2 linked regions of the Coturnix japonica genome follow. The protein of the gene in region 2 purifies or fractionates together with the protein of the main gene of each other region. This does not show direct contact. Links are inferred from orthologs where the notes say so. Each region holds a gene or a part of one and is shown on either strand. Other genes may lie near its edges. The genes, in order: LRP6 and ETV6.

Region 1 (3,820 bases), about 110 kb from region 2:
TGAATTTACTTTAGGAATAAACATACACATGAACAGGTCTGTTTAAAGACACTTGGAAGCCAACAGGGCCACCTGTGCATGCAAACAGTTCCGAGTGTGCAGAGGTTTTAGAATAAGATGCCGGGAGGTGAATAAATACACCCATATGCAGGCATGCTTGTGAACCAGGTCCTGAGCTTGCTACCAGCTGAAAGACAGGGCTACCATTTGAGCTAGGTGAACAAGACCTGCAGCCAGGACTTCATTTGCACTGTGCTACCGCTAACAACAGTGACCACTACTTGTGCTATACTTTGTCACACAATACCTGGGTTATCAGTCTGCTTAACAGACTGGCGCACTCTGTTCTGAACTGTGTAACATTCAGTTATGCTGAACAGTAGAGATGATGCATCAGTAATGAATTTTGGCTTTGCTGCTATTTATTAAATTACCTAACCCGCTCTACATCTGTCCCACACTAAATGTACCAGATACATCTTCACATCCACTTTAGAAGTGCCATTCTGTAAGGAATCTGTATCCAAAGTAATTTTTCAACAGCTAAAATGATCAGCTTTCCCTACAGTACCAGTTCTAACCAATGACACTTAAGGAAATAAATGACAAATCCCTGCCTATGCTTAATGAATGAAAAAAATAATGACATATGTCTGTGATAAAGTTGCTAATAACTTTCTAACATGATAGCACATCTCTTATTACTACTTAAGATCAAGTCTTTGCATTTTCAAGTCACATGTCACCTGTGATATTCAGACCTCCAACACAAGAAAAGATGTCACCTATTTACAATTTCTTTCAAAACACCAACAATGAAAACGAACTTTCAAGTTGGAATTTTAAAGGCAGCATTTTTCTTGCAGAATCCTGGAGATTTCAAGGTAGGAAAATTGCATTTTTTTTCAAGATGAAAAGGAAATGTTAGAAGGCTTATTCTGTAAGCAGAGTGCTGATCTGATTTTAAAAGCACCTGCTATTAATCTTTGTATGGGAAAACCATGAAGCAAAACAGTTTTATATAAGAGCCTCACACTGATAGAAAAAGATAGAAAATCTTTTTATCAGATAGATAGAAAAAGCATACAAACATATTATTAGTAAAAGAAGCCTCTGATTTATTTTATAACTTTAGAGAGGTATGTGGAAAATTTAATCAGTCTGTTCTGCCTCAGAGAGGACTAATTCAAAATACAAGTTACATCTGATTCCTGTCCTACAGCACCTAGTTATTAATTGTATAACAACATCTGTTCAGGGTACAGTTCAGATTAAAATTAACTCCTTGAGAAGGTAAGAGAAAAATTCAGATAATCAAGTCTTGGGTTTTGTACTTACAGCATCCTTGCTCATCTGAGCTGTCACTACAGTCCAGGTTGTGATCACATTTCTTGCTTTTACCAATGCACTGCCCGCTGGCACACCGGAACTGATTGGTTAAACAAAGCACTGGGAAGAAAACCACCCCACAAACCAAGAGTCAGTATCAAAGGCTTCTGCTCTTTAAAGTGATTAAGGAAAGTAGATACTAAGGCATACAATCAGGAATATCAGATACAGAAGGCCACTGAGGACACAGGTACTTATCATAGGACATGATGGTGGCAAAACTGCTTTCCGAATCCCCAACTCTAAACACATACTATAACACAAGCAAGAATAATTAAGTTATTAAAAATAAATCTGCCAAACCACAATGTTAAAACTGTTTAAGAAAGATAAATGTGGTTTCTCAATGCCCTTGTGCACATCTTGTAAAATAGAAGACTCCTTGATCATATGACAATACATTTCACTTGACATTATGTTTTAAAACTGAAATGAAAGACAGAAGACAAATCTGGATCTTTGCCATTACACTCAAAAAATAAACTACTTCTCTGGGAAAAAAAGGTGCTTCAGGCAAGGTACTGGCTGCTGCTGTTTACACACAGTTTTGCCCACTGTTTCACATAAATTTTAAATTCTTTCTGATTTCAGCTCAATTAAGAAGCAAAACTACAGGCTTCTCTGATCTGCACTCAACCTGTACACACTGAATAACAGGGACATTTTGAAGATGATAAACAGCCTCTGTTCCAATATCTCTAGTCACTGGATGGTAACTGGGAAACTAACCTGCACAAAGCATTTTCAGATGTCAGCAAGCATCTGGCTAAAAATCATCCTTCATCACAGAGGAATCTGCTTGTATATTTTCGTTTGAGCTGGAGCATATCTTTTGGAAAGAAATTCAGCCTTGATTCAAAGACTCTTAGACAGCCTCTTCAAAGAAACTTTACTGAAAGAATATATGGAAGAGGCACCCTTTCAAGCTTACAAGTTGTCCCAACAATTCCTCACTACTTGTGCAGAGAGGATAAGAAGGTCAAGTAATCTAATGGATCATTTGGTATAGTACTAGGGTAGTTCAGACTCCTTCAGCAAAACCTCCCCTTCCAAAATGGCAACAAAAAAATCCCTAATGCTCACTGTGTTGGTAATAGCACTTAGCATATAGATTAACTGCTCTCTTTTACTGTACTCTATAGTAAGAGGACATCTCCAGGAATCGCATCTGTCTCTCACTCCCACTTACAGAAAGACGTTTACTCCAAAGCTACCAGGTTTCAGAGCTTGAGACATACCATTTTTTAAGAGTACTTTTCACAAACAAAGCTTAAGCCACTGTGCAGGACATGAGCAGGTATAAAAACAGAGGAATGGAGCTGTGAAATAATTTTCCACTCAATAAACCTGTGACATAGCAGCAGAAATTCAAATCCTTTAGAATTCTGCATTCCACAATAACTTTGGTATCTTTCATAGCATCCCCTGTACAGCTTTGTTTCTATTGTACTTTGAAAGATCCTCTGTACCTTCACAGTTCTTCTCATCTGAGTTGTCTTGGCAATTTGCTTCTCCATTGCACCGGAGGGCACTGTCTATGCACTGTCCGCTTTCACACTGAAACTGAGTGTCTGAGCACACTGGGCAGTTTTTTTCATCGCTGTGGTCTTCACATTCAGTGAAACCATCGCAGCGCCAGGCCACCGGGATGCAGTCAATCTCACCTGTGAAACAGGTGAATTGCTGAGGGGAGCATGTTGGAGGTTCTTTAAAAATCAAGCAAACAAACAAAAAGTAAAAATTCGGGTGAACAATCAGCAGATCACAACAGTTAAGGACAAGAATAACTCAGCTGCTTTGACATCAAGAAGCTGGTAAACACACAGCATCACAAGGTAATTTCTACCCCCTCTGCCTCTAAAATCATTTGAGCTGGTCTCGAGCCTCACGTGACAGATGCAAGTTCATGTCAATGGAGTCTCATCAGACAAAGAAGAGGAACAGAGAAACACGAACACTCAAAACACAGTTCTTTTCTTCCCACTTCAGCCTCTTAGATCCTTCTGCATAGATCTTCAAAAGTCTTGTTTTAAGTCTACATACTTTTCCTTTACTCGCCCTTTCCTGCAGCACCACTGCATACACAGTTGATTGTTCACTTTCTTAATGCTCAACAGTCATTGTATAGAAAACACTAAGAGGATGTAATGTGCTGCAGATGGATGTGCTGTGACTCAGTGTCTAGTTATGTGCCCTCGACAGTTCTGTCGAGTCAAAATTCTCCTAAAATGACAAAAAACTGCTCCATCTAGTTGTCTCACTATCTCAACACAGCTGTTAGCTGTTATTTAACATTCACTACTGTAACTGTTAATCTCAAGCAGTAAGTAAGCATGTATTCCTCCCCTCCACCCTTTTTTTTAATTTTAATTCCCCCTTTCTTCCTCTTTCCTTTTTGGCCTGGTATTAAACTTGCTCTTTTATTTAACTT
Region 2 (3,820 bases):
TAATACAGAGGAACAAGTTACAGCAGTAGTATCTGAAAAGGAACTTAACAGTTTCATCTGGGAAACCCTGGATTTTCCAGGAGAGTTTTCTCAAGTGTGTGTGGGGTTAACAGTTGCTCCTATGAGACTGAAAGCTGTGTGCCATTCAGCTGCTGTCTCTATAATGTTCTACTTGCAGTGAAGTTTATTGTCTTAGTATGAAACGGTTAAAGCTATCCTGCTTTCCACAGTTCAACTTCCTTTATTTTTAGCATCTCAGCTGCTTTCACTGTCTCAGTAGTGACTTCAGGGCATTTTAAAGAAGTGTCTGCAATACCTGAAAATCTAATTACAAACAAAGCCTCAAGAACTCAGTTACCTTTTCCATGTTGAGTACATGAAAGTCTTTTACCTCATAATTTGCATCTTTGAATGCAATAGTGGCATAACCATAACTAGTACTATAACACTCCAAGCAATAACTTTTCTTTTTTCACCTAACAAAGTATTTAAACTTCTGCATCACAAAGACACAGCTGTATTAGTTACAAGAACAAAAGTCTCCTCACTCTCTCTCTCCTCTGCTCTCTTCCCGAGCCAGTGCTAGATCAGAGTATAGCTGGTGGCTGTGTACCCATTTTATTGGTACAGTCACTGGGAGGAGAGGATGCTATTCTACTGGTTTAACCAGGAGTAGAAAGGATAGAGCCTTTATATATCAACACTCTATGAAAAACTTAAGCTCTATAGCAAATATTATTTTACAGTTCTTATGTTTCACGTGTATTTTATTACTGGGAAACACTGAGGTATATTTTACCTATAGTAATTTAGGCTGACTGAGCTATCCTCTAAAATGTTTATTATTGGTGAGGAATAATACCTGGAGAAAAAGAGGAGAGAAAGAGCTGGGACAGAGGCCATTCTAACCCAAGTTTAGGTAAACAAGAGTTTAACCTTCTGCACAGTGTGGATTTGCAAGCCAGAGGCTCTTCTCTGAGAACGCTCTATCTCCAGCCAACAAACATTTTAATCCTACTCATTTCAAGTGCCCTCACAGCACATAAAGGGAAGAGTAGAGAAATAACTGGTAGGCAGCAAGGCACTGGTATGATAAGGGGAATAACAAACAAGTTACATAGAGTTGTCCTTTACAGTCCTTGCCCACTTTCAGTACTTCTTTTGCCTTAAAACTGGGTTAATTTTTGCAATGAAATCGCTCAAAATGAGTACCAAAAAAACCCACCAAAGGATGTTTCCAGGCATCAGTTTTCACTACTGTATTATACTAGCAATAGACACAGATGTCTGGCAATTCCTTTTATAAAAATTATTCTTGGTTTAAAGTACATGCTTTGAAAAGTGTGTATAGAAGAAATATAAACCATAGTATGAGAGGCAGATTCTGCAGGAGGATGGTTGGGTGCATTCAAGGGAGTCACAAAGGAACTAGAAGCAGAATTAGTGCCATTCCTTTTTTATCAGCCTGAGCCAAACTGCACCAGCTGCGCTTCTGCACTGAGCGAATCTTATGCTGCAAGCCTGGTAACAGCAGTTCTGTAACCACTTGGTGCAAACTCTTTGATCATCTATAGTGATTGAGTAAATGTTTATATTTAACAGAGGTACCACGTATGGTCATAAAAAGAAAGCTCACAACTCTTATATAGAACCAATAACTCATATTTAGTTAAACATCTCTGACAAAGGAGGGCAGAGGCTTACTCTGACTGGGATACCATAGCAGAAAGACTGCAGGGGATCTAAGTACAGGAAGACCACATATGTATTTCTAAATCACTTGTGTGAATAAATGAAGACATAATTTGAACAACAGGCCAACTGATTCACACCTATCTGTGTTGTACTTTGGGCCAGCCTCCAGCACGTGAGAGAGTATGATAAAGTAAAGTAAAGCCCACAAGGGCTGTAAAATAGAGGAAAGGTCCCCCATGGATGAATTTTGCAGTCACTCTTAGAAGCATGTCAGCCAAGCCAGCTGTGAGACAGAATGCTAATGTCAGCTTCTTAAGAGGCTCGAGCACTTGATTAACTTGCTGCTGTTGTTGGGTCTGCAAAAAGATAAGTCTTTATGGGGAAGAGCTGGAAGCCATGAAATGCTGCCAAAGAAGCCCACTTTCTGTGGGTTCTGCAAAGAGTTTTAATGAGAGACAGGTTGCATTTTTGGGTGTGGAGTTGCACCCAAATTTACTTACAACTCAGGGGTAACTAGATTTCTCTTCCCTCTTGTCTTTTCTGTCTTTGTCTCATATAAGAGTTTCTGTCCCTTCTCTGCTCCACTGCCCAGCCCACCCTAACAAGCATGATTCTGTATCCTCTTTTGTCCCTCTTGTTGCAGTTTCTTCTCTTCTTTCAACTGTAGCTTCCATAAGAATTCCTCACCTGAATGAGGCGATCTGTATCGAAAGTCCTCTTTGGTCAGGAGCAACAGAGCCTTGCCATTCATTTCAAAGGTGTTGCTCTCAATCGGCCTCAGGGAAAACTCCTTCTCCGCCCACCTGAGCCACTGTGCGACATCCTCCCTGCTCCAGTAAATGGGCTGCAAACCTGTACCAGGAAAAGACCAAGACTGCGTTACAAAATTAGACAAGGTATGTGAATATAGGCAAATATCATAGAATCTCCATTTCTCCCCACACCGTAACATGCAAAGTCTCCAGGCAAGGTGTGGTAGAGAGATGTCAGGATCACACTAAGCATTGGGCTGTGCAACACTTCATTAGTTTAGGTATCTCAGTTTATTTTGGACATTCTGAAAAACAAGATGCCTCAACATCCCTTCTAGGATATTATTTCATTCCAGGCTTCCACTGTGGGATGGGGTTGACCCCCAGCTGCTCCTTCCAAGGCTCAGAGCAGGCAGGAGATGAAGCTGCTGGCCCCATCCATGCTCACTGTGCACCCTCTCACAGAAGCAGGGAATGCCCTCTCTACATGCCCCTTCCAGCCACCTTTACTTGGCCCTGGGAGGTGTGACAATTCAGTATCTGTTCTACAGATGAATTTAAAACAGCTTCCTTCCCCTGGAGAGAAGGCAGCATGGTGAAGAATTGTTTATACCTAGGTAGGCAGATTATCTCCAGTCTGCTGGGAGATAAAAGCTTTCTTTCCTTTTCCCCCTTGTGGGATGACTCATTGTTTGACTTGTTACAATGTGTTGTGTAGAAATGAAAGCTTCACGCTGGGCAGAGGAACGTGAAATTTGCCGTATCTGATGAGATCTCTGGTACACAGCCTCTGGCAGGAGCTAATACCTTATGCTTCAGAGGAAGACGAACCTCCCTTCCTCATCTTGCACCTGGCTGATTGTATGCCGCACATGGGAAGAAATTTCCTTCCTGGCACACCACTCTATGAGATCTGATTACCCTTGTCTTACCAAGTCAGAAAAGAAACCCAGGAGATTTGTACTGTTTTGTTTTGCTTTTTTTTTTCACTTCTGCACACAGGCAACCTTGTTTTCTGTTTCAGCAAGAGGTCACACGCAGTGAATTGCATTCTGCTGCCACACCAGATTCCCAGGCAGCGGCTTTGGAAAGCCCCAGACCACAGCTGCACACAGAACTGAATCTGATCCTGAGTGAGAACTGAGATCGAGCTCAAGAAACAGTTGGGGCTGACCAAAAGAAGGGGCGCCTGCATGGCAACAGTAGGTCTCCATTACCTTCACTGTAAAACTGTGCCACACAGACACAAGAAATGGCATTTATGAAGGGCTTAAATTATCTCTCCTCCTGTTGAATTAGGGGCTGGTTACCAAGGGCAGAGCTTTCTTTAAGTCCTTCCTTTCTGCAGGGAGTGCAGTCAGTTGAAGATCTTC

Evidence for each region.
Region 1: the proteins of ETV6 (region 2) and LRP6 purify together in Homo sapiens (affinity purification with mass spectrometry; 3 studies listed by BioGRID and IntAct, counting the BioPlex papers as one, with this or other methods). This does not show direct contact. The link is inferred for Coturnix japonica from reciprocal best matches to the Homo sapiens genes ETV6 and LRP6.

What each region holds. Positions count from the first base shown.
Region 1 is NC_029516.1:65,918,206-65,922,025, forward strand, and holds part of LRP6 (low-density lipoprotein receptor-related protein 6), read right to left. Parts: intron 3,096-3,820; coding exon 2,859-3,095; intron 1,450-2,858; coding exon 1,339-1,449; intron 1-1,338. UniProt on the Homo sapiens protein: Component of the Wnt-Fzd-LRP5-LRP6 complex that triggers beta-catenin signaling through inducing aggregation of receptor-ligand complexes into ribosome-sized signalosomes.
Region 2 is NC_029516.1:65,808,641-65,812,460, reverse strand, and holds part of ETV6 (transcription factor ETV6), read right to left. Parts: intron 2,548-3,820; coding exon 2,383-2,547; intron 1-2,382. UniProt on the Homo sapiens protein: Transcriptional repressor; binds to the DNA sequence 5'-CCGGAAGT-3'. Plays a role in hematopoiesis and malignant transformation.